7 linked regions of the Tribolium castaneum genome follow. The main gene of each other region encodes a partner of the protein of the gene in region 7 in a complex. Links are inferred from orthologs where the notes say so. Each region holds a gene or a part of one and is shown on either strand. Other genes may lie near its edges.

What was found.
Region 1: Polr2H (region 7) and Polr1H share a complex: the UniProt entries of both Homo sapiens proteins name them as parts of the pol I pre-initiation complex. The link is inferred for Tribolium castaneum from reciprocal best matches to the Homo sapiens genes POLR2H and POLR1H.
Region 2: Polr2H (region 7) and mrn share a complex: the UniProt entries of both Homo sapiens proteins name them as parts of the TBP-based Pol II pre-initiation complex. The link is inferred for Tribolium castaneum from reciprocal best matches to the Homo sapiens genes POLR2H and GTF2H4.
Region 3: Polr2H (region 7) and Tif-IA share a complex: the UniProt entries of both Homo sapiens proteins name them as parts of the pol I pre-initiation complex. The link is inferred for Tribolium castaneum from reciprocal best matches to the Homo sapiens genes POLR2H and RRN3.
Region 4: Polr2H (region 7) and Polr1C share a complex: the UniProt entries of both Homo sapiens proteins name them as parts of the pol I pre-initiation complex. The link is inferred for Tribolium castaneum from reciprocal best matches to the Homo sapiens genes POLR2H and POLR1C.
Region 5: Polr2H (region 7) and TfIIA-L share a complex: the UniProt entries of both Homo sapiens proteins name them as parts of the TBP-based Pol II pre-initiation complex. The link is inferred for Tribolium castaneum from reciprocal best matches to the Homo sapiens genes POLR2H and GTF2A1.
Region 6: Polr2H (region 7) and Polr1B share a complex: the UniProt entries of both Homo sapiens proteins name them as parts of the pol I pre-initiation complex. The link is inferred for Tribolium castaneum from reciprocal best matches to the Homo sapiens genes POLR2H and POLR1B.

The regions. Positions count from the first base shown.
Region 1 is NC_087397.1:21,420,328-21,422,798, reverse strand, and holds Polr1H (DNA-directed RNA polymerase I subunit RPA12), read right to left. Parts: upstream 1,056-2,471; 5' UTR 967-1,055; coding exon 840-966; intron 783-839; coding exon 532-782; 3' UTR 501-531; downstream 1-500. Other genes in the region: PolD1 (DNA polymerase delta catalytic subunit), read left to right, coding at 1,150-1,202, 1,252-1,516. UniProt on the Homo sapiens protein: Core component of RNA polymerase I (Pol I), a DNA-dependent RNA polymerase which synthesizes ribosomal RNA precursors using the four ribonucleoside triphosphates as substrates. Can mediate Pol I proofreading of the nascent RNA transcript.
Region 2 is NC_087396.1:20,771,892-20,775,861, forward strand, and holds mrn (general transcription factor IIH subunit 4), read right to left. Parts: upstream 2,585-3,970; 5' UTR 2,462-2,584; intron 2,436-2,461; exon of another isoform or gene 2,405-2,435; 5' UTR 2,385-2,404; coding exon 2,233-2,384; intron 2,188-2,232; coding exon 2,083-2,187; intron 2,034-2,082; coding exon 1,902-2,033; intron 1,850-1,901; coding exon 1,664-1,849; intron 1,616-1,663; coding exon 1,435-1,615; intron 1,378-1,434; coding exon 1,294-1,377; intron 1,202-1,293; coding exon 1,008-1,201; intron 957-1,007; coding exon 716-956; intron 672-715; coding exon 528-671; 3' UTR 501-527; downstream 1-500. Other genes in the region: G protein pathway suppressor 2, read right to left, coding at 1-196. UniProt on the Homo sapiens protein: Component of the general transcription and DNA repair factor IIH (TFIIH) core complex, which is involved in general and transcription-coupled nucleotide excision repair (NER) of damaged DNA and, when complexed to CAK, in RNA transcription by RNA polymerase II.
Region 3 is NC_087395.1:22,076,404-22,080,490, reverse strand, and holds Tif-IA (RNA polymerase I-specific transcription initiation factor RRN3), read right to left. Parts: upstream 2,801-4,087; 5' UTR 2,642-2,800; intron 2,594-2,641; 5' UTR 2,588-2,593; coding exon 2,134-2,587; intron 2,082-2,133; coding exon 1,976-2,081; intron 1,864-1,975; coding exon 1,252-1,863; intron 1,204-1,251; coding exon 1,025-1,203; intron 981-1,024; coding exon 722-980; intron 673-721; coding exon 498-672; 3' UTR 430-497; downstream 1-429. Other genes in the region: ATP-binding cassette sub-family F member 3, read left to right, coding at 1-67, 159-311. UniProt on the Homo sapiens protein: Required for efficient transcription initiation by RNA polymerase I (Pol I). Required for the formation of the competent pre-initiation complex (PIC).
Region 4 is NC_087396.1:18,341,018-18,344,281, reverse strand, and holds Polr1C (DNA-directed RNA polymerases I and III subunit RPAC1), read right to left. Parts: upstream 1,892-3,264; 5' UTR 1,780-1,891; coding exon 1,717-1,779; intron 1,668-1,716; coding exon 1,367-1,667; intron 1,320-1,366; coding exon 1,200-1,319; intron 1,155-1,199; coding exon 741-1,154; intron 692-740; coding exon 582-691; 3' UTR 501-581; downstream 1-500. Other genes in the region: proteasome activator complex subunit 4, read left to right, coding at 28-237, 284-418; N-acetylneuraminate lyase A, read left to right, coding at 1,899-2,150, 2,197-2,536, 2,585-2,730, 2,776-2,944, 2,992-3,137, 3,183-3,264. UniProt on the Homo sapiens protein: DNA-dependent RNA polymerase catalyzes the transcription of DNA into RNA using the four ribonucleoside triphosphates as substrates.
Region 5 is NC_087395.1:25,201,029-25,204,475, forward strand, and holds TfIIA-L (transcription initiation factor IIA subunit 1), read right to left. Parts: upstream 2,155-3,447; 5' UTR 1,946-2,154; coding exon 1,458-1,945; intron 1,216-1,457; coding exon 765-1,215; 3' UTR 501-764; downstream 1-500. UniProt on the Homo sapiens protein: TFIIA is a component of the transcription machinery of RNA polymerase II and plays an important role in transcriptional activation. TFIIA in a complex with TBP mediates transcriptional activity.
Region 6 is NC_087399.1:7,561,557-7,565,056, reverse strand, and holds part of Polr1B (DNA-directed RNA polymerase I subunit RPA2), read left to right. Parts: intron 1-2,784; coding exon 2,785-3,071; intron 3,072-3,121; coding exon 3,122-3,472; intron 3,473-3,500. UniProt on the Homo sapiens protein: Catalytic core component of RNA polymerase I (Pol I), a DNA-dependent RNA polymerase which synthesizes ribosomal RNA precursors using the four ribonucleoside triphosphates as substrates.
Region 7 is NC_087396.1:10,332,757-10,336,871, forward strand, and holds the start of Polr2H (DNA-directed RNA polymerases I, II, and III subunit RPABC3), read right to left. Parts: upstream 2,801-4,115; 5' UTR 2,738-2,800; coding exon 2,665-2,737; intron 1-2,664. Other genes in the region: Epp (ecdysteroid-phosphate phosphatase), read left to right, coding at 2,968-3,080, 3,133-3,373, 3,420-3,615, 3,844-3,939. UniProt on the Homo sapiens protein: DNA-dependent RNA polymerase catalyzes the transcription of DNA into RNA using the four ribonucleoside triphosphates as substrates.

The sequences.
Region 1 (2,471 bases), on a different chromosome or scaffold from region 7:
TAACGTAAAAATACAGGGTGATTCAAGTAAACAGAACTTTGTAACATCCAAAGCAATAATATAAAAGGTAGACTTTTTTTATTAAGTAAAAACATAACACAAACAATTAAGTCTCACTTTCACTCATGTTGTAAGTTGGTGTAGAGCCTAAAACAGTCACTAGTCATTTTTTTGTATCTTCAACTGTATTTGCAGCGTTTTGAAAAATATGAGACAATGCGGCAGATTTCAAATATTGTTTTTCACGTTTCTCGTAAAAATTTTGGGCGTCACTTTTTTTCAACCTATTACGGTACGGATGTATTTTTTCCATTAATTGGTTGAAATAAAATTAATGTAAAACGATTATTAGGCGCCAAATAACACTCGAAGCGCCCAATTTTAATTCTACCGTACTATTTTACACCCCGTCTCGCTTCCTAATCTATAGTCCTCCATAGGACTATAGATTATTTGTTCATTTTTTTTAATTATTAATGCTTTTAAATTGAATAAATTAGTTATTAACAAAAATGCGTATTTATTGACCAATTACGAATTTTCACTCTCTTTGAATTTACATTTTGTGCAAGTATAAAACACAGTTTGGCCCTCATCTGCTGATCTCAATTGAACTGTCGCATAAGTCATTTTATCATGACCACATTTGGCACATTTTCTATCAACAACAGGACCATCATCTTCTTCTTCATCCTTTTTATTGTTCTGCTTGTTCATTGAATGAGTTTTGTAGTCTCGCGAATTGAAGTGTATCACATATGAAGCTTTAGTTCCTCGAAAAACTACAAAAAAAGTATTATCAATTCTTTAGAATTATCATTGAGACAAATTTAACTTACCATCTGATGGAAAATTGCGTTCACAGGCATAACATTTCACACCTCCTGTTTGTTTTAAAGGTGGCAAAATGGAACCACAGTCGGGACAAAACCCTTCGATACTTTCAAAATTAGGGCCAGTACTCATTTTTAATTTTTTGAGTGATTTAATTCGAAAAATTAACCTAAAAAACACATGTGTCAACTGTTGGGAATTTTCCAATTTACATATTGGTCACACTTCACGCATTTCAAGACAACATAACCTATAATTATTTTAAGCGGGAAGAAACTGAAATATCTTGTTTGGAGTCCGTTTGTTTACAGCAAAATGGCAACAAAACGCAATCTTCCGCCTCCGAATTCATCAGGGAAGAGGTTCAAGTAAGATTTCTTGACAAAAAATGATTGTTTTCTATTTGGTTAATTGAAGGAACGACAAAATTTTTCGCCCCCCAGTTGGCGATTTAAACCCCACTGATGATGCACTAATTTTTCAAGAATTAGAGTTGGATCATTACATTTCAGCCCCTTATCCTGGAATGCCAGGGGCTCAAACTGGTACTGTTCCTGTGATTCGAATGTTTGGTATTACAAAAGTGGGCAATAGTGTGTGTTGTCATATTCATGGTTTTTCTCCATACTTTTACATTAATCTGCCGAATGATTTTACACAAGCGGATTTGTCCCGTTTCAAGGTAGGAATTGTTTAATATTTAAACCCAATATAAAACGCGATAAAATGTTCTAAGATTAAGTACTGATACAGTCTTGTCCTTATCAGAATTTTGACACTGACAGTTGTTTATATAAAAAAAATAACTATATACGTTTGGTAACAAGTGGTAATTGTTTGGTAATAAATTGTCAAATAAACAATGAATAAACAATTGCGTAAACATAACAACGCTAACTACTTTGATCTGAGCTTTTACCATTCAAAACTTAAAAAACACCAACGCCGCATTTTGCCGAATATTGTTTTTAAATAGTATTGATAAAATTGTAAAATTGTTATTTATGATTGGAACTATCATTGAAAGTATAAATTAGATTAGCTATTATTTTTTTGAAGTGCGTGAATAATTTATAACAGCTAATTTCAATTTAAAGTATTGAACCAAGCATTTTGCACCTAAAATATACAGGGTGTCTCACGAGGTAGTGCATATACAGAGTGACCCAAGAGTTCGTGCATGCTCCATAACTTTTTTTCTATGCAAACTATCAATTTAAAGTTTTTTTAAACGATAGGTCTTACAATATTTTTATGTTGTAATGTTGTAATAAAATACTCCACTAGGTTTTGTTTTTTTAATTGGAAACCCCAATTTTTATTATATTTTTGAAAACGTGACTAAATTGTCGATATAATGCACCCGGGTTTTATAGACTTATCTGTCATAGTTTTTGACTTATGTCAATTTATGTGTGAAAAGTGTGTCGTGCAAAGACCCTCAAAAAATGTATAACTTCAGAACCATTTAAGATAATGTAACAATTTTTTTTCTTAGCCAACTTCTTAAGCTTTAGCGCATCTTTTGCAATAAAAGCAAACTCGATGTCGATATTTTAGCGCCTACTACGATTTTCTGAATATGACAAACTACATATTGCAATAACTCGATTTTTTCAAATGCAACACCCTGTTTA
Region 2 (3,970 bases), about 10 Mb from region 7:
TCTGTTCGCGGGTTTCACCCAAAGTCATGACGTCTTGTTGCTCGCGAGCTTCGCGTTCTTTACGGAGACGTTCCTCTTCCACTTCGGCCTCCCGTTCTTGCTTTTTGCGAGCGCGCTCACGCAGAATGTGCGCTTTGAGCACCTTCCACATCTGCTCGGACCGATCCGGCTTGCTGTTGTCCACAGCGGCAGGCATTTTGCACAAATTACGAATTATTTCGTATTGTTATTTTACAGGAACTGTCAATGTCAACATGACGTTTGACACTTGTCGGCAGGATTGCCAACAATTTATTGGCCAGATTTTAACCAAAATTGGGCGAAAACTCAAATTTTTGACCCGCTTCCACATGTTTTTTTTAGTTTAAGCACTTGGGCCGAAACTCCCAACATTTTGATACGAATTTGTAGCGAAAAACGCCCGTTTCGCGTGAAAACAGAATTGGTTTAGATTGGCGATACTGTTTCATCCGCGAGGGAATTTTAAATGAAACACGATCAGTGGTAAAGTTTTTATTAAATCTAAATTAATTTCCTTTCGAATATCGCTTCCAGAACTTTTTAACATCATCATGTGCCGATTTATTGATGATTAGAGTCCGTTTTTCTTTGTTACACCAAATTAGATGGCCATTAGACTGTGCATACTCTTTCAGTATATTAAAATCAGCCTAAAACACAAATTAAAACCGCGTAACAATTTTTCTTGTAATACCTGTGATAGGAATTGGCTGTATAAAACGCCCTCTGAATACGTTAATCTGTTCCGCTCAATTTCCCACAGTTTGATTTGATCCACAACTGTCGGAGGTAGAGGATGTTTGGCCTCACCTTCCAACATTTGAGGATGTGCATGTTGTTTGAGGTACCCGATAATTTGATCGGCTGTGATTCCCCCTTTCAAAGCCTGTCTTATGGAATCACGTGTTATTACGCCCACTACAAGGTTCGGAAACCTGGGAAAAGTCCGATAGTCATAACATTTTTTTATTTATTTTGTGACCCACCTATACATCAGTTCTGTGAAAAGACCAATTAAAGCAACTTGAAGATTAGAATCCGTGTAAGCATAAACCCTGTAGTTTGTCTCTACAATTATGTAACCTTTTGGAGTGTCTTCCTCCAAAATTCGAGTTTCGGGGCCTTGGCTACACGTAATATTTAAGGCCAATCTGGTCGGGTAAAAACGGCCTGCTTTGCGCTACAAAATTAATTACATTAATCATGGGTGCTGTGGAATGTGACGTCCAGAAAAAAAAATTTGGTAACCATGGTAACGAAAACAAGACCTACTTTTCTTTGATACACTAATCCGAATTCTCTCAAGTGTTGGAGAAAAATTAAAAGGCCGGGACTCATGCCTTCAGTGCTATAATCCTACAAAAAAATGTTGCTATTAAAAAAAAACGCCAAGTGTTATGAGTTATGACATACTTTTCCAAGTGTACTAAATGAGAGTTGGAATAAAAACGTTAAACATTCAACCAGACTTAATCCTCTTTGCTCAACTGTGTCGAGATATTGGAGTAAAAAATGCCAAACTTGTGCTTGCCTATCTAAGAGTAAAAACTGGAAGCCTTGACGTGTTATAACAGGACTGCCATCTTCCTCGTCTCTACATAAATATAAATAAGATAACGAGTCAATTTTGGAGAAATTCAACCTTTTCATAAGCCCAGCGTGTAGTAAAATTCTGACAGCATCCGCAGAAATTCCCTCTTGTTGTTGCGACCCCACCATGTAATGTAACACACATTCCCACCGTTCGAGCGAATAAGCGTCCAAAAAAGACACATCTCTTGCCTTACTGTCAACTTCTAAAGCCGAAGACATGCTCCAAGGTTTGCCCCTTGGGATAAATCACGCAGTCATTGCAATAATCACACTAATTACACTCTCACCCCCCTAATAAGGCAATTTTCAAATTCTTTTTAAACGTAACTGAAAGGATCCAACCTAGGAGCCCCCCTGGAATCGCAGCCTCCTGCCATACCGACAATTCGCTCAAAACCTTACTCACATAAACGTGCTCTCTACAAATAACCCCCCTTTTCGTGTGTACAAGCGCATTTAAACACTCACTTGGAAAAGGCCTGAGCCCCCCATGACGCCACAACTGCCTGGGGCACCGGCTGTTCAACGAACAAAATTCGAATCACGTACTGGCGTGCCAGTTCTGGCAATTCTCTAAAATCGTCAATCGAAATTTGGAATTTTAAAGTGGGTTTTTACCGGTAAACGGCCAAACAAATCGTTGGATGGTTGTAGAGTTTTTCCAACGTTGCCGAAGAGCGCGTTTTTAAGTAGTCGTACAAGTTTTTACATTCTAAGTTTGTTGGTTTCAAAAAAAGCGAGCTGGGTTGCGCGGGCTCGGCGTCTGCCATTTAAACAGCCCCCTTGCAAACTTAAAATTAGGGTTAGGGTAACTACTGTCAACGCAATTGTCAGATTTAAAGCTAACCCAACTTTTCCTCCGAAGGAGTTGTTATTTAATTAACCACTCGCTTCGTCTTAATAAGTGTAGAAAAAACTTGGTTTTCGCTCTGCTTCGAAATGCCAAGTTTTTGGGCATAAAATATTTTGGCTATGTTTTTTTAATTATTCAAACGTTGGGGAATTTGGGTGGCAGGGTTGGTCAAAAATATTACGGTGACGATAGCACTTTGGAAAGAGCTAGCACCATGAAATTTCCAGCGGACCAGTCAAATCACGGATGTGCGTTTTCAGCACTTTGCGACGTTGCTACGTTTCTCACAAATTATAAGAAAATAAATTATTTACTCATTTTCTTTTAAAATTCAAGTGTATTGTTATTAAAAAAAATAAAGTAAATGCAATTTCAAACTTGTTGTATCTTTGAAAGCAATGGGGGATGTAGATAGTTTACTAGTTGACACAAAAAGGTGAAACCGCCTAATAAAGGCAAAACAAAAACGAGGAGGGCATGCTACCCAATTATTTAGGGGGCAGATTCCACCTAAATAAGATAATTATTCGTTAATTTCTTCTTCAAAAACATTATTTGAAAAAAAAAGTTAATAGAACGACATACTAATTCAAACAGAGGGTTAGATGTCTTCCCAAACTTTTAGAGGATTGAAATTTTCAAGAAAGGTAGGTATTTAATGGGCTTTCATGTGGAATGGGTTAAATGCGTCGACAAAAAGAAATAGTACTAGAAAAAAATATTTAATATTATTAATAAAATGTTGACATATTTCAAACTAAGGGTTGGATGTCTTCCCAAACTTTTAGAGGGTTGAAATTTTCAGGAAAGGTAGAGTATTTAATGGGCTTTCATGTGGAATGGGTTAAATGCGTCGACAAAAAGAAATAGTACTAAAAAAAATATTTAATATTATTAATAAAATGTTGACATATTTCAAACTAAGGGTTAGATGTCTTCTTAAACTTTTAGAGGGTTGAAATTTTCAGGAAAGGTAGAGTATTTAATGGGCTTTCATGTGGAATGGGTTAAATGCGTCGACAAAAAGAAATAGTACTAGAAAAAAATATTTAATATTATTAATAAAATGTTGACATATTTCAAACTAAGGGTTGGATGTCTTCCCAAACTTTTAGAGGGATGAAATTTTCAGGAAAGGTAGAGTATTTAATGGGCTTTCATGTGGAATGGGTTAAATGCGTCGACAAAAAGAAATAGTACTAGAAAAAAATATTTAATATTATTAATAAAATGTTGACATATTTCAAACTAAGGGTTGGATGTCTTCCCAAACTTTTAGAGGGATGAAATTTTAAGGAAAGGTAGAGTATTTAATGGGCTTTCATGTGGAATGGGTTAAATGCGTCGACAAAAAGAAATAGTACTAAAAAAATATTTAATATTATTAATAAAATGTTGACATATTTCAAACTAAGGGTTGGATGTCTTCCCAAACTTTTAGAGGGATGAAATTTTCAGGAAAGGTAGAGTATTTAATGGGCTTTCATGTGGAATGGGTTAAAT
Region 3 (4,087 bases), on a different chromosome or scaffold from region 7:
CGAACCCACCAATCATTTAGATATCGAAACAATTGAAGCTTTAGGGAATGCGATAGTCAAATTCACCGTAAGTTAACGCTTTTACCACTTTTGGGTGATCACATTACCACCATACACTTTTTTATTTTTTTACCTCCCTTGTGCTTAATTTTTTCTAGGGCGGTGTGATACTTGTGTCGCACGACGAGCGGCTTATTCGCAAAGTGTGCAAGGAGTTGTGGGTTTGTGGTAATGGCTCTGTGCGAAGTATAGAAGGTTTTGATGAGTACAGACGACTTGTCGAACAGGAACTCGAAAGTCAGTCTAAATAACGAGTTTACTTTTTAATAGAGAAATTTGTATAAATGTGCCTCCTTTGTGGAAAAACTATTTATGATTTTTTGTTATATTTATAATATATTCATGTTTATAACGGTATTAAAATATAGGTCATATTTTGAGAAACTTTATTTTCCTATCAAATTAATAAATAACATCTTGCATAAATCAGTATCACATTAGCCCTTAAATTTAAACCCTGGCGAAGTCCCGTATGAGAATTTCTGCGTTTTTGAGTTAAAGTCATTCTCGAGGAAATCGTCAACGTCCCCAATTTCCCTCATTTCTGAATCGTTTACCTCAAAACTCACCTCCTTGTAGTCCCGATAAAACGGGTGCACTTTCGCACTCGACCTGCAATTAAAACAGTCAGGGGAATCCCCCAAAAAACGGTGCAACGAACCTTGATAAAACAAAAGGATCAAACGGGTAACACGCCTCTAGGACGTTACTTGAAACTGTCACAAAACCTTTCTCGTCTCTATAAACAGTCGGTAAAGTGTTCCTCGAATTGTGTTCAATGATTGAGTAACAATAGGCTAGTTGGTACTTTCGGGTAATAGCAGCGAAATTTTGCACGACTGCAGGTTGGCAAACCCGCAACGGGTTTAACCGACTGGTTACGATTTTCGCCAAGTTCAGACTCTCCAAAAATACGACATCTGTAATCAAAGTTGTGACAATGTTCGAGTAAAAAAATCATTACTTTTTTTTGTGTTGACTAAATCCTTGTGCCGGAACGAAATCACATAAAAGAGGGCTTGACACACTGTGTAGAAGACAGAGTGGAGCCTTAGGTCCGAATTGACGCACTCTAGGCCGTCCTGAGTGGCGATATACGAGTGGATCCATTCGGCCATTTGTTGCAAAGTCCCCTTCAACATGCTGCAATTTTCCATTAAACTGGGGCATAAAAAATTGAAAAAATCTTACGTAAGGGGGACGAAAGTGGCTCTCGCTATAAAACTGACAATATAATTAACCGCCGCTTGTCTAATCACCGACGCGACGTTCGGATTGCACACCTTCTTCCACAAGTAATTAAAAAACGCCTCCGTTAACGTCGTTTTAAAGGAACACAGCACAAACATAACAAACTGGACGTGATGAGTATTGTAAGTTGGCAGGATCGACTGATCAAAGACCGTCAAAATATCCTGGTATAAAGACTTGGTTTTGCCCCAATTCAAGTCATTAGTGCCCGGCTCATGGCACTCGGAGTAAATGTAATTGAACACTTTATCCAGGCAAACGTCCAAAGTGTGTGCCATTGAATGGACGCAGTCCAGATTTATCGTAGTGTTTGTTTTGCTCTCGTCCATCATGAAAATTTCCTCCTCTTCAAGTTTCGCGATTTCCTCGCGGGGCGCACTCACGTCCATGATGATCAGTTTTGAGAAAATTAAGTGGAGGATGTTGGGTCTGAGAGTGGGCTGGTAGCAGATGACCCAGAGGAGGTTCTGGATGTAGTATTCGTGGATGTGGGTCGATTTGTTCATGTAAGGGAAGTGGTCGATCAGGGCGTGGATTAGCAATTCGTTGCACCTGAAATGCCCATTAGCACAGATTTAATTTATAAACTATTTTATAGAGAAAATTGCTTATTACTCTAGATAATTACATCCGGAAAGTACCTGAGACTTGAAAAATTACTTACAAAGGGACTGTTCTTAGAAGTTCACAGAGGAGGGAGTGGACGTGTTGGCACTTCAGAATATCCGTTTTACTGGGGGTTCCATTTTCCCATTCAGGGTCTGTTAGAGCTAAATAATTCACTGGTAATTAACTGGTGATTAGTTACTTTACCAAACTTACGGGGAAAAAACAATGTGACTAATTTATTTATCACAAAATCTGCGTGATAGTTATGTGCAGCGACTAAGTTCGCAATAAATGACTGATACTCCTTAACTACATTTTCGTTTCTTTCGATCCAGTCAACTGAAAGGAGTGCTTCTACAAAAAGACGTAACTCCTGCTTCATTATTGAAATACACTCAGTCGCTTCCTTCAACAGTGAGGAAATATCGTCATCAAACAGTTCGGCATCGCGAATTAGGCACACTAAATTTTCATAATCCTTTGCATTTCCGTGTTTGATGTAGTCCTTCAATATGTGGCGCACTTTTTTAGAGTGTGGTAAAATAAATCGGACTTTAGTGGGTGTGTTCACTTTCAAGGAGCGGTTTAATGTCGATTTGAGACTTGGGGTTTTCTTCAGGATCGAGGAAGGGGTCGTTGACTTCGTGGGGGCCGAGAATAAAGACATAATGATCTGAAATTTGTTTGTTTTTTCTGAAAAAATGATAAATATGGCACTTACATAAATTAAAGCAACGGTTCAGTCACAGTCAATCAATAAAAACAGTATTTCACAATGTTATTTAAATCACATCTTTTACAGGTTAGGAGAAAAACGTGTGGTTTGACGTCTGCGTCTAGGGTTATTTGTTGTGGCTTTTCGAAGTTGCTTGGTTGGCAAGGCTACTATTTAAATTTTGAGCCGGGCTAATTTATTAAAATAAATTAAAAGTAAAATCAGTACAAGATGTTAATATCACCTATTCAAAAGCATTTCACGAACCTACTGAAATAAAAAACAGTGAAATTGGAACATTGTACCAGTAAATTCGTTGAAAATATTATAGATTTTAATGTAGAAACTTTTCTAAAAATAAATTATTGAAAACTAACCCTTTAATCCGGGTTGTTTTCTCTTTTCCCCTTAAAAATCCCTTTCAATAGCACACACTAACCGCGATCAGCACGCACTAGTCAACGAATTTGGAACTTTTAATCCGCAAAAATTCTTTCACAAAACAGTAAGTCATAAAGTGAGTAAAATTAAACGACACGGCAACAAGTACGACACCAACAAAAAATATAATCTGTGAGGTAACTTATTGTTACAAGATGGGAACAAGGAGGTTTGTCTAATGTATTGATTTTTGTCATTTAACGTTTTTTTTGATCTGAAAAACACAAGGAGGCACATTTTTAAGGTCCAACCCGACAACCACAGAAGTTCATCTCTTAAGCAAATAATTTCAGCCAAACATTTTAGTGAAATCTTCACAGGATTCACAATTAAAACAAATCCACTTTGTAAGAACAAACTTACTCTCGAAAACTAAAAGAATTCGATTATTTTTAACTCAGCATACTTAAGCAGGTATTAATTTTTTTTTGAATAAGATTCTTTACATGATATAGGGGCAGAGCCGGATCGAGGGCACTTGCCTCAGATGATCTTTGGGAAAGGGAAAAAAACAACAGAAATAATCACCTCTGATTTCTCTTTTCCAGCAGTTATGGAACAATGTAAAAAACCTTGATGGTTAGTACTTTCCTGTTTAAAAAAGTGCTGTTTAAATGTTAACAGCACGCGCTGTGTGTAACCAATATTGTCAAAAAGACTCTGAAGAACGAATTTATAAAGGAAAAATAATTGAATGGTAGTTTCAAATTAATATCATAATTTATTACGTCTACATTTTATAAATGAGTAAAAAAACTCTTTAACAACAACAAGGACGCTACTTAATACTAATGAGCGAGTATTATATGTCGTCATTTGTAATTAGAGTAGGAGAGTTTCCTCCGAATAGTTGGTAGACTCAAGTCTTAACCATTCTTTCAATATCAGTTTCAGTAGGTACTCTAATTGTAATGAATTCAAATGATCACTTGGTACACAACCGTCCTTACGTCTAATGATATGTGAATGAACAAATAACTTAAGATTATTACTTAAAATAATACTGTTGTG
Region 4 (3,264 bases), about 8.0 Mb from region 7:
TATCGTTAAATAATTCGTGAATTCTAGGCGCAATTTAAACAGAAAGCGAAAACTAAATTGAAGAAGAAAAATTTGAACAATTCAAACAGTTTGAATCTTAGTACTTTAAGATTTAGACATGCTGGAGTTTTGGGCTTGTGTGCTTTTATCAATAGCCATCCATACGACGTACCTGACTTTTTACCGGATGTTTTTGGACAATTAGGACCCCATTTGAACGACCCCCAACCCATTCCTGTGAGTCACACTTTCGTCGTTTAAAAAAATAATTAATAATTTTTAGGCAACAATTCGCAAAACCTTGGGAGATTTCAAGCGAACGCATCACGAAAACTGGGAAATCCACAAACTCAAATTTACTGAGGAAGAACTGTTAGTTTTAAGTGATCTCACAGTGCCTCCCAGTTATTACGCCTAGGCAATAATTTTCCGATTCCAGTCAATTTACAATTTAATTTTTTACTAGACAATAGGTGAAGGAAGGTTTAAGGTAGCAAAAATTTACGCGTCAAATGTTTTTTATTTTTAACCTTGTTCATTATATTTTTTGTGGTTTGATAAAAGTATATTAAGTGAAATGTTTATACATGACTTAATTCATCTAATAAAGCAAGACATTTGTCTTTTAATATTTTAACAGCTTCCATGAATATCACATCAGGTGGTAAAGCCCCCACAGATTCGACCGTAACTAAATTACAATTAATAAAAACTGAAAAAGTAAATAAAAAAAAACTTACAAATGAAATGATCCTGAATTTTGGTCATCGCTACTGCGTCCTTGAGGTCTTCATAACGGAAAACATTCCGACTTCCTGTATCATACCTCGCATTAGCTACAACAGCGTATTTGCGGCCTTTTTCATGTCGGATTGAAATCACACCGGGAGAGAAACATTTTTGGAGTCTCTCAGCTGCTTCACCTTCCACTTCTCGTAATAATTTTATGTCGGGAAGAAGGCGATAAAATGCGGTTGCGACAGGAGAAAATTTCGCATGGTCTCGCCCGTTGCTCTTGACTGCTAATAATTTTAAATCTAACTCATGGCCTGGCCTCATTTTGGCAATGAGAATGTCAGGGTGGATGGGGCCCACGTCACTAAACCGCTCCTTCTGTTTACCAATGGGCACCCATTTGATGTGTTTTGAATACACTAAAATTATTGCAATTTTTATTGTTTCTCAAACGGGGTAATTACCATTATTGTTTTTGTACATATCTTCAGCTCGCAGTGAGTCTTTACTGCTGTCTTTATTATTGGTACATTTAATTTTTAACGCAAACTCTAGAGTATCCTGTTCGGTACCTTCAGCAGTTGCTGTAAAAATATTGTAACGTTTGGAACGGCAACATTACAAGACTTACGATCAGTTTTCATTTCAAATAATCGGGGGTCGGCCTTTAGCGGTATCAGGCCTAAACGATGGGCCAAAACTTCGTCTTGGATTATAGACGTGTTATTAAGAATGTGAACCTTTTCAATGGCCATTGTGGGGACATCACTCAACATTAACCTTCTGAAAGTGTTTGCTAGGAACGGGTGAATCCCTATCAAGTCAAATTCGAGTTCATTCTCTTCACTTCGCACAATCACCACCCTAAATCTCTTCTTAAAGGTTTTCAAGTCCCATTTCTCGTCCAAAACAGTTGGTTCCGAGGGCAAATTCTTCAAAGGATGTTTGAAGGAATTTAATACAAAATAATAAAGGACATACCTGCGTCACTTTATATTCTCCTAAAATCACTCGAGGCTTTTCGTCATTCAGAATATTATCCATTTTAAACTTGTTTCAAAAACTTGGATAACCTCAAACAACGCACGTTTTTCGTAAAAATGACTACCAACCTTACCGTCCTTACCACCCAAAAGCCACTTAAAATGTCAGCTTTTTAGGTTATGTTTTGTGAAAAATATAAACAATTTTTGAAAAATATGACGAAACCCGAATGCTCCAAACAGGAAGCTTCAAACACGAAAAGCAAGGCTGAAAAAGACTCACAAATAAGCACACCTGAAACGGCTAAGGCTCTGTTTGCCGATTTTGTGCCAGAAGAGTCAGACAGCGAAGAAGAAAATGAGAAACAAGACGACAAAAAAGACGAAAATCTTGAACCAGCGTCAAAGAAATCACGAGACAGTAACTCGAAGGTAAGTCACCAGTACACCAAATGAAAAACCAACCACCTTCCCGCAGAAATACATACCAAAGTACAAAAAAGAATGGGAGAATAAACCCGAATTGAAAGCATGGTTATCAGAGAGCATACATGGAAATACGTATTTCTACTGCAAATTCTGTAAAAAGGATTACAGATGCGGGATTTCCGACATTCACAAACACATGTCGTCAAAGAAACATGCCCTCAAAGCGGCAATGCCTGCATTCAAGGCACAGAAATTTAAATTTCGGGGGCTTTTGTGCCCCGTCTTTACCCCATTTACTAACTTAAAAAGAGTGACACCTGATGTAAACCTTAAGGCTATACCAAAATACGCAAATTTTTTAAAAGCTTGCAATATTAAAGGAATTTTAAGTATTTCGCAACTCTAGAAAATGAATTAAATTAAATGGTCAATTTTAGTTAATGACATAACCGGGGAAGGAATGTCCTTAACCATTCATGAAAGAATAGATTTGGCGGACGCGTGGGCTGACGCTTGTGAAAAAACAAATCAGTTTTTGATGGCACAAATCGGGGGAGCCCCCCTCAAAGACGTTATAGAAATGGTAGTTTAAACATTTGTTAAAACTGTTAATATTTTTCATTTGTAGGCAAAACACGCCGCTAAGAGGGACATCGGCGCTGTTGTAATCCTCCCCGACCTTTACAACAAACCAAAAAACCACCTAGACCTAATCAAGTACATAAAATTAATATCAGAATTTACAAAAAACGTCCCCATTCTCTATCACCACAATCCCAAGTTTACGCAAGTTGAAAGTAAGCGTTTCGAACGATGAACAAGACACGAAAAAATTCATTTTTAGTTGATATTACGTCGTTTCTGCTGGATATAACGGGAGAAGTGGATTCGTTTGTAGGCGTCATTTATAGCACGAATGATATACAACAGAGCACCGCTGCTATGGCGGTAAATAGGGAAAAGTTTACCGTTTTTATGGGCACCGACGAAGTAGGGGCTTTATGGCCATATCTCCCACTTAATTTCCACTTTTAGGCAATTTTGGGGGCTGCTGCGAGCGGTTTTACGTGTATTATGGGCACAAGTCTGAACTTTTTACCAAAACTGGTTGAATCCA
Region 5 (3,447 bases), on a different chromosome or scaffold from region 7:
TCTCTAATAGTTCCGGAGCTATTGCTCGAGAAATGTTCCGGGTACCCAAAACCGACAAAAACTGCGACGAAAATTGAAAAAATCAAACATCAAAAAATCGAACATTTGGACTTTTTGTGGACTTTTAACAACTTTTGTGAGTTGTTAAGACATGTAGAAGTCCATAAAAATTTGCTGGAGTTAGTTTAAAAAAAATTTTTTTTCACCTCTTTGAAGGTAAGTAAGTGTATAACTCAGGAAATTTGAGCAAAAAAATTGAAAATTTTAAATTGCGTGAAAAATTAGTATAATAGAGAAAAAAAGGCGCTGAATCCAATGGAACGAACCGCACTGCTCTACGACTTTTAGTTTTCGAATTATGAATTTTTTTGTTGAATATAATTTTCCATTATAGGCATTGCTCTACGATTTTTAGTTTTTGAGTTATGATTTTTTTTCAAAAGAGCTGCTAATTTGCGATTTTTGTCATCTTCCAGGTGTTAGAAAAACGACCAATGGTGTAACTTCAAAAATAGTTTTATTCACAAACGGCTATCGATAATTGATAATACATAGTAAAAATTTCGATTAAATCTAAACGCCTATTATTAGTTACATTTATAATGGATAACACAATTCTACAACTCAGGCTATTCTCCCATTTTACATACAAAAGTTCAATAACTTAAGTCGGAACCCAACGTTCCCTTGAATAAGTGACGGGTTTTGCGTGCAAGTGACTTGAAAATAATAAAAAAAAAACAAAACTTCTTAAAAAACACTAATTACCATTCCGCATCACCGTTAGCCTTTTGGAAGACATAATCTTGTCCACTCAAGTTCATTATCCCATCTTTCAAATAAAATTTCCACTTATTCCTATTTCTTATGATTTTATCGTACTGACAAACAACGATGTTATCAGTATCGAACAAATCAGTTGGGTCGTCATCAGTCACATCGTCTTCGGAGTTCAGGGGCTCTTCTTCACCACCTTCTTCCTCCATTTCTTGATCCTCTTCGTCCTTATCGTCATCGATATCCTCGTCGTCGTTATCGTCGTCAGACCCGTCCTCATCGTCGTCGGACGTGTCCACGGGGCCGTCCACCTGGGGCACCTTCTTCCTAGGCAAAATAAACTCGATTTCGATTTGTTCCTCCTCCTCCTCCTCGGCGTGGCTTCCGTCCGTCTGGGCGATGTTTCGGTTGACAATGGTCACGATCTGCTGCTGCTGGCTGTTAAAAACACGTTATCTCATAACAAAAAACTACAATTATTACAAGCTTTTTTATTTATTCCGAAGAGAACATTATTAAAAATCCGATAAAATTTTAAACAATAATTAGAAAATTTTTAAAACAATTATTGACAAAAATATCTGCATAAGTGTGCACAAAACATGTATTTTTCTTTGTACAGGGTGACCCGAAAACATTTTGCGTGGACGATTTAAGTTAAAAGGGGGCTAACTGACTACCTGTTAAACACCGCGTTGACGTGCTGCTGGAGCACCGAAGACGCAATATTGGCGGGCAAATTCATCATCCCCGTGATGATCTGCCCCGTGAGCACCTTCTGGAGCTGGTTCCCCTGGAGCGCCGTGGCGGGGACCTGTATCGTGAGTATCCTGGGGCCCTGGTCGCTGCCGGGCTGCGCCGGGAGCGTGATCTGGATGGGGACCATCTTCGTCTCGGCGATCTGCCCCACGGGGGCTGCCGCCGGCTGCGCCACATGCTGCTTGGGGAAGCCGTTGGTGGCGGTCATCTCCGCCTTCTTCGCCTTCTCCTCCTCGCTCTGCACCGCCTTGCTGGCCTTGAGCTTGGTCTCCCAGGTCTGCTTCAGCTCCTGGAGGACCTGCTCGTCGACGCCGTCCTCCAGGAAGATCTCGCGGACGCCGCTGATCACGTCGTCGATCACCTCCTGGTAGATGCGGAGCACCGAAGTCTTGCACAGGGAGTTCGACATGGCCTTGGGGGCGCACCACACTACGTTAAGCTGATTATGAACGGTTTCCGAGAGTGGAAACGGGCGATAATGGCATTTTTACGCGCACATATGCACTTTTGAGGTTAGGGAAATCAGATGGCCGACATTTTGATGGAAAATGAAGGCGAGAGATGAGGAAAATTTTGGGGTAACGGCAGGACGCGATCGGGGATAGTGCGCAAGCGCCGGAATGAAGAGTTTTTATCAATTCTTATCACAAAAAATTACTACCACGACAAAAAAGTCGTATGGTGATTAGTGAGTCGTGGGGTTTTTATGGGTACAAAAAAGAGATTTAAGCAATAAGAAAATAGTAAAAAAGTGGTGTATTGTGGGTTGACTAAAGCACAAAATGGCTGCCCGAATTATTTTACCGCGAAATACAAAAATTAAGTTAATTTACGATATAGCAGAATTTAGCAAAAAAAATCAAAATTTTTAATCTCGTAAAAAAAGCTGGTATAACAAAGAAAATGAAACAAACCGCATTGCCCAACGACTTTTACTTTTTGGGTTATGATTTTTTTTAGTGTAAAACTTTAATTGCCTCTGTAACCGGAACCGTTGCCCGGAGCAGCTCCGGGTTTGGACGAAAAAATAGATAATTTTAAGCGCCATCCGTTTTTTTAGTTTGATTCTCTAAGTCTTAGAGTTTCCGAGAAAAACGCAAATAAAGTTTCCATCTTCGCTTTTTTTCCATTTTCAACTGCCGATTACGGCGAAATTATTAGAGTTATCTAAAAACGGAAGAATTGTAGAAAAGCGCAATAAAAACTCTACAAAATGGCATAGGACTCAAAGCGATATCTCGCAAAAAGTTTTATAATTTTCAATCGCCGATTACGGCCAAACTAAAAGAGCTAGGAAAAAACTCTTTTTTCCATCGTAAAGAGCACATCAAAATCTATAAGAAAGGATAAGTGTTATTTGATTCTGAGACACTTTTAAAAATGGCCATTTTGGAGGGGAGGGAGGTCTTAATTTATTTTTAATTTTTATTATATTCTCAATTACGACTAAACTATTCGAAAAAGGGGAACTGTTTTGATCTTTACCTATGCAAAATGATCCAGGGAATCGATTGGCGTCGAGAAAATTGCCAAATTCCCACTAGTTTTTTGGTTACGAATTTTTTAAAATTTTACCAATTTTTGCATTTATCTGCAATTTTCTCGAAAACTATTAGTCGGAGAGCAAAGATCTTTTTTGAAAAAGATAGACAATTAAAAGAGCTTTCCAACGATAATACACTTCATGGGGTTATCTCTAATAGTTCCGGAGCTATTGCTCGAGAAATGTTCCGGGTACCCAAAACCGACAAAAACTGCGACGAAAATTGAAAAAATCAAATATTAAAAAATCGAACATAAGGATTTTTTTTGAACTTTTAACAACCCTAGAGGGTTGTAAAGGCACATATAAGTACGAAAAACTATGATAGAACACATTAAAAAAATTTTTTTTTCACTTTCTTGAAGGCA
Region 6 (3,500 bases), on a different chromosome or scaffold from region 7:
ATACTTCGTTATTTTGCTACCATGTTTGGTATTGAAAAGAATTCTATAAACCTTGGATACTTTTACGGTGAACAATGATCATTTTGCGTTATACACAAAAATACTTTGGATATTTTTATGTTGGATGAAATTACGTTTTTGACTTTTTTACGGTGGACAGAAGTATTGTAGCAACGTTTTCTTTGTACACCATGAAGTTTAACAACAGATAATGGTGTTTAAGATCAGCGAGCCTCACAATAAGATGTTTTGACAAGGGCGACCCGAAAATATTTACGATATCGATCGGTTCGTTGAAAGATTGCAACCTGTCTGCAATAAATCACACAATAAGCTTGCCTGAATAATTAATTAGCTTGAAAGGTCCTTGTGGTTTGGGCTAATCATAATAAAAATCATTTTACTTTGGACAGAAATACTTTGGACTTTTTTACTTTGGACATAATTGGCTCTCCCGTTTTTTAATGAGTTTTCTATTATAAATACTAAATTGAAGAGGTCTCCATTTTTTAATGAAATGGAAAAACTACTTAACTGGTTAGGTATTTTGCTTACAAGGGCAAAAATAATAAAAAAATCTCATCAAGTCCAATTGTTAGGGACAAATCTTCTTTTGAAGGTTTTTGGTTTTATATCTGTTCTTATTTCTTCACATTACATAATTATGTATTCTGTAAAACAGTAAAAAATCTAAGTACAACACATTTCTTCTACTTTTAAAGAATGCATTAAATTTAATTTTGACTTGCATACTTTTGCTGAAAACACAAAAAAAAATAATACGTAATAACGAGTATGTAGTACGCTATTAAATATTTAGCGAATTTTTTCATAGCTCTTTTAAAATAATTTTTAATTATACATCAATGTGCATTTTACACTTTGTATTTTTGTTATTATTAATGTTCTGATTTTGAATTTTTTGAAGTTAGTCACTTGCACTTTGCGTATATTTTAATTACAAAAATCGTAGTTGCCAACAAATTTATTTTTTTTGCTGCCACCTACAAAAACAAAATTAAAATTGATTTTTTTTATTTATTTTTCTATTGTTGTTACACTTTTATTTAGTTCTTAAAACGCTTATTTTACAGGTTTTTATCTTTAGAGTTTTTGTTTATAAGCTTCAAATAACTGTTTTGTTGTAGCTGTCGAATCATTATTATACATTAATTTGCTTCTCTTATTTGCATTTTTTATGTGGCAATGTAATTGTCTTCTTGTGTTTATTTTTATTTTTTTAAATTACCAAATAATTATTCTATTGCTGGCTGATTAGTGATTACTGATCACACCATTTTGCAGTAATTTTTTTTAATTTGGATTAGAGAAAAAGATATAACAGCTACAAGGGAGAGAACAGTAAAAGATGCTCAATAATTTAAAGAATTTTGAATTAAAGTCAAACTTTTTCAGTCTGCGGATTATTTTTTCTTTCACAAACAATTCAGATAGGGATAAAAAGGGTAGATAATCGAAAAGACAATTCATTTATCATCGATTTTTTTTATTTGTGAGCTAGATAAATCATTTGAAATTGGTTGAAATAGTTGGTACAAATTAAATGCACAGTATTTTATTTGAACGATTTATTTTATTTACTGTGCATTTATTATTTTTACTGTGCATTTATTATTTTTTACTGATCAAAATCGAATTTATTACTGATCGCTTTATTTAATTTAATTTAATTTAATTTGTCGATTTTTTAAATTCTTTTAGTTTTTGGTTCATGAATGAGCTAAAATTTCCAGAATTGGCTGAAACCACTGAGTATATGGTGAAACAAAGAAGCAAATAAAGAATAAATATTTGCATATTAAAAACATTGTTTTTTATTTTGTTATACTTTTCTGTTTCTTATTCTTTTTTCTATGTTTACGTTATTATATCTTATTTTCAAAAACTAGTCGGTTTGTTTCGACAAGATCTGTTGGAAGTTATTTTCTGGTGAAAAAAGAGAATTTACTAAAACATTTTTCGGACCTGCTTTCGGGACTTTTTTAGTTTATTTCAGTGCCTAACTAGCCTGAATTTTAAGAGCAATGAAATAAAAAAAATGATCTATTCAAATAATGGTAAGCACAAGGTAAAAAAATACAGAATCGGCATTTTCAATAGTAATTCGAGACAAAAGTACAAAAATTTTAGTGACAATAAAAAAAAATATGGACGTATCCGAATTGCACACCATGGTGAGAAAAACAGGAACCTCTTGACCAGTTGTCCCTTATCGGTAACCGAGCGGTGCATCAAAATTTTATAATTTTATTTATTGAAGGAATAATAAAAAAAATCAGTATATTATCTATCAAACATTATAGGGTAAGTTCGAATAAGATAGATTACATACAAAAGATTGCAATTTGTTTTTCATTTGGTTATTCAAAAAAACTTTTTTCTTTACTGCTCGTTAACTGAATTTTTACATTATGTCGTAACTTAAAAATTTAGTAAATTATTTACAAATGTGAAAATATTCACAAGGAGAGACACTTCCTATCCTTACCTGTGTTTGATTTTGTTGAAAATTGACGGTGGTATTCAACGAAAAAAAAAAACTTTTATCAAAAACTGTTTAGTTCTAATTTTCATTGGGTAAAAAAAGTGTAAAGAGTAAAGTTGTGAAGAATCAAATTTTCTGCTAAAAACTGGAGACCCTATCTCTATTCTCAGCTGTTTTGGTGCTATCCTGTCATTCAGCCACCAGTAAAAAAAATAATTTTTGTTTTAACGTATTTATTAAAAACCGAAGTGTTTTGCAATTTTTCGTGTTTTTTTTAGGTGTTACGACCCACATGGAGCTCTCCAAACTGGCCTTCCTCTCAAACCTAGCCCAACTAATCCCCATGCCCGACTGCAACCAATCACCCCGTAACATGTACCAGTGCCAGATGGGCAAACAAACAATGGGCACTCCTTGCCACAACTGGCGTTCCCAATCCGAAACCAAACTCTACCGCCTCCAAACACCGGCGACTCCCCTTTTCCGACCCGTCCACTACGACAACATCAACCTTGACGACTTCGCCATGGGCACAAACGCCATTGTTGCCGTTATCAGCTACACTGTAAACCCATTAACTTCGGAAAAATCCCCAATTGAACCATCTGTTCCCAGGGCTATGACATGGAAGACGCAATGATAATAAACAAAGCCGCGGACGAGCGTGGTTTTGCCCACGGTTCCATTTACAAAACCGAATTTGTAACACTTGAACACGAGTCTTCGTATTTTTGCCGAAACCCGGAAAAACCGGAACTGGCCGAATTCTTAGACACGGACGGCTTGCCAATCATCGGACGCCGAATGAAAGATGGGGATCCCCTGTACTGTTACTACAGTGTGGACGAGTCGGTGTACAAAGTAACCAAGTTTTCGGGGAAAGAGGAGTGTTTTGTCGACATGGTTAAACTGTGCGCCAGTTTTGAAACGACCAATCGGACGGCGTGTTTCACGTTCAGAGTCCCGGTACTTCCCCCACATTTTTTTTTATTGA
Region 7 (4,115 bases):
TTATAGTTTTTTATATTACTTTACATTTAATAGTAATTTGTAGACTTATAGAGAGAAAACGATTGACTGACTTATCTCATTATTCTGCTGAACAAATGTTCACAAATTTTCGGTGTTATAACAAAATTGTTTAATAACATCTAAATAAACCACTCTATTGCAAAAACAATTATTGCATTTGAAAGAGAGGGACTTTATAGCATACGTTTCTATATTTTTCTCAAAATGACAAAAATTGGACATATTTCGTTATAACATTGAACAGTGAAGACCCCATTTTTCACCTGTTAGAACCATCCAGTAAGCAGGCATGTATGACTAGATTTTTTAAACATAATTTAGGACCACTGGCGTTGTGCCACCAAATTTTCTGTTATTAATAACTAATTTGTGTTCTTTTCGTTACATTTAATCAAGTTACAAGTTGTTTTGTGGCTAATTATTAATCTTTTTCATGGATAACATCACAACATCTTATTAAATTTGAGTAAAATCAAAAATTGTCAACCCCCACTTTTTTTTCGCAGACCGACACTAAAAATAAATTGTGACCAAAAATTTATTCAAAAAGACCTATGCTTTCAATAAACACTAATAATAGTAATAATACAGAATAAAAACAAAAATTTTCACTTTTTGTTACAGTGTTATTACCTGTAATATTTTTAACTAATTTTTACTGGAACAACTGATTTTCTTTTTCTTTTTAACAATTTAATTTCAATATGATAGAAACAAAAATAAATCGCATTTTTATCATTTTGAAATGTGTAGGAGTACTTAATAAAATGTATTAACTTGGAAAATTCGAAGTGTAATATTTCTAAACGTCGGTTTAATTTTTTACTTTGTATTTCTTCTCTTTATTCATTTCAGTTCCTAATAACACTAGTTTACAACGTTTTTTGCCAATAGATGAAACCAATGCGTATCGGTAAGTCTAATACATTCACTTAATGATATTTTAAAGCAAATAAAATGTTTAACAATTAGTTCATCACAGAAACAACGGATGCTAAATTAGACACCAGAAACCAATTTTCAAAACTTTTAGTGAACATTAAAAAAAAACTAGATGTGATAGAAAAATGTAACATACAGGATGTTTCAAAATTGACAAATTCCGAGGTCAGAGCGTTGTAAAGAATCACTTCACTAGACTAAATGTAAAAACAAAATAAAGATTCGGAACTTCCCCACAAGGATACAGTGGTTTGAAGGTGCACGTCAGCTCACTTTGAATTGCGTTTTCTTCAAATGAAGGCTAAAAATTTTTCATTATTTTCATTTTTATTACTTATGATGTAGATGATTGTGGAAGATAATAATGTAAAACAATATTTCAAAAAATCAGCTTCATTTTAGAGTAAAAAATTTAAATTTTTGTAATTTTTCTTAAAAACAAAACGGCAAATTAAAAAAATTAAGATTTTAAAAACTCCAAAATAATATAAAAAAATAAATATAAATATAAAATAATAAAGCTAGTTTTTTGAGAAATCGTTCACAGTTATTATTCTTCACAATCATCGTCACCACAAATAAGAATAAACACTGAAACATATAGGCTGAATTAAAAAAAACGCAGTTCAAAGAGTAATCTTCAAACCAATGTATCTTTGTGAGGCAGCCCCGAATATTTTTTTGTTGGTAACATTTGAAGCCTTCTTTTTAATATCTGAATCCTAGATTTTAAACACTATTTTAAAACGCTTTTCCCATAGCAACGTGTTTTCATTTAAGTTCAAATATTCCAAAAAAAAAAATTTAATAACACTCATGCGAAAACGCTTTTAAAGTTCTCGAACTTTAAGTTTTTGTTTTTGCTCCCGTATTATTAATAACTCTTTTCGATGTTTGGACTACTAAAGCAATTCTCTACAGTGCTCAGAACTCGGAATTCGCCAATTTTGATACACCCTAAATGTTTTTTTAATACTGTGTTGCCAAATAGCCTGTATATTTTTGTTATCAGTGAGTAAGTAGAAAACAAAATTACCTAGTAGAAATGATTTCTTAGTAAAAGAAAAAAAATTGTAAACTAGTGTAATTAATATATCCATTTATTATCCCAGCTAGAATGCTCTAAACCCCTACGTGTTTCTTAATATGTATTTTATTGCTTTTTGTATTACAATTAATTCATGTAATTCATCAGTCTTCACAAATGATTCAAACAGCGAACAGTTTTAACAAAAATGGGGGCCGGCCCATGTCACCCATACACACCACCTACAAACCACACAAGTATTAAACAAAAATTAATACGTTAAAAAATTATTAGTATAAAAGTAAAATTTTGTAAGACTAATTTTGCATAATTCTATTAATATAAGTCCTTCAAGTAATTAATTCTAACCAAAAAAAATCTATTCTATCTGCCTGTTTTTATTGGTTTTATTCTTAATGCATTAAAAAAGACCAATCGATGCCACAACTAGGACACAGGTGGGGGGGTATAACCAATATTTAGAGTAGGACGGTATTATCGTATTAATAACCACATACACACGCTTTCCAAATTCAGAGGTAAATGAGACAAGATGTAAACTTTAAATACATTCAAAATTTAACACAATTTCGAGCAATTTTACGAAACGTTAAAACATAACCTCAAAAACGCCGGTCACACATCCAAACAAACAGACGATAAAAGCCACTTACCTCGATCAAATTTCTTTCCCTCAGGATCAATATCTTTCACGTTGAATATATCTTCAAACAGGACACCTGCCATCGTCGAATAACGTGTAAATAATAAAAAATTAACACACTTTAATACTTTCTTATGAAAATGGGCAAATTTTGACAGACATCAACACTTGACAGTGTTCCAACCAGTGCCGCCATCTGAAAGGCCAATTCCCCAAACAAAACCAAAACAAAAACGTCACTGTTTAAATGTCAAAGGTCCACTAGAAGTGTCAACACCAAACTTTAACCTAGTTGAAATTAATAATTTATTAAATGAAAATGGCAACACTACCCCCTAGGAGGAACCCCACACCTACAAAAATATCCAAACAGCACCTGACCCCGCTACAAATCCTCCTCCAGATGGGGTTCCCCAAACACAGAGCGTGAGTAAACAAAATGATAATAAACTTTCGGGTAACTTGAAATTACACACAGCGAAAAGGCCTTAGCTGCCACTGGTAACAGGGGCGTGCAGTTGGCCTCCGACTGGTTACTGGCCCACGTAAATGACCCATTGCTGGACGATAACTCTCCAAGGGAGTACATTTTATATGCGTGTCCCACGGGACCTTTCCTGGAACAGTTACAGACCTTCTGGGAGAAGTCGCACAGGGAATGCGCCTGGAACGGGGCCCACAATTTCACGCCGCACATTACGCTAGTTTCGTTTTTTAAGGTATTTCATTTGATAAATTTTGAATTCGTTTAATGATGTGTAACAGGCGCCTGATGAAGACGCCCTACATCTGGCGCAAAGCCTAAAGTCCGTAATGGAAAGGCAGGGCGCTATGTTGAACGAGCCCCTAAAACTAGAAACGTATACTTCTCCAAATTTTATGGGGTTTTTTGTGGCGGAGGAGCACGCTGATTATTTAAAAAGGATTGCCATGCAATATGTTAAAGAAGTTTCAAATGCTAGTAAGTCGATTTTTCTATAAACCAGTAGATGGGCATGTTTGTAACTTTGTTGGTTTTTGATTACCAGAAAAATATTTAGATAATGATTGGTCCTTATTATTACTAATCATGTTTTCTCAACATTGTAAATAAATTGATAACGACACATGCTTGCATGGTAATCAAATTACTTGTAGTTGTTCTTAATACTAGCATGACAATCTGGCTAAAGGTGGTGGTTATTTGCAGTTATTAGTGACACATACGAACATTTCGATGCTCTAACAGCCTGTTTTCCGTGGTGTACCACAACAACTGCTCGTTGCATTCCTCGGGGAAGTAGATGTAAGCAAATTGTAGTTTAGTGTAGTTTCCTCTAGATAATTATCATTTTTTTGTATTTATTTTCTATTAAAAGTTTGAATTTTTACTTTGCTTTTCCTTTTGTTACTAACATTTATTTATCCTTTTACTGAAGTTGCTGGTTTACTAACAGTTTTATATTCTCTTACCTATCATTA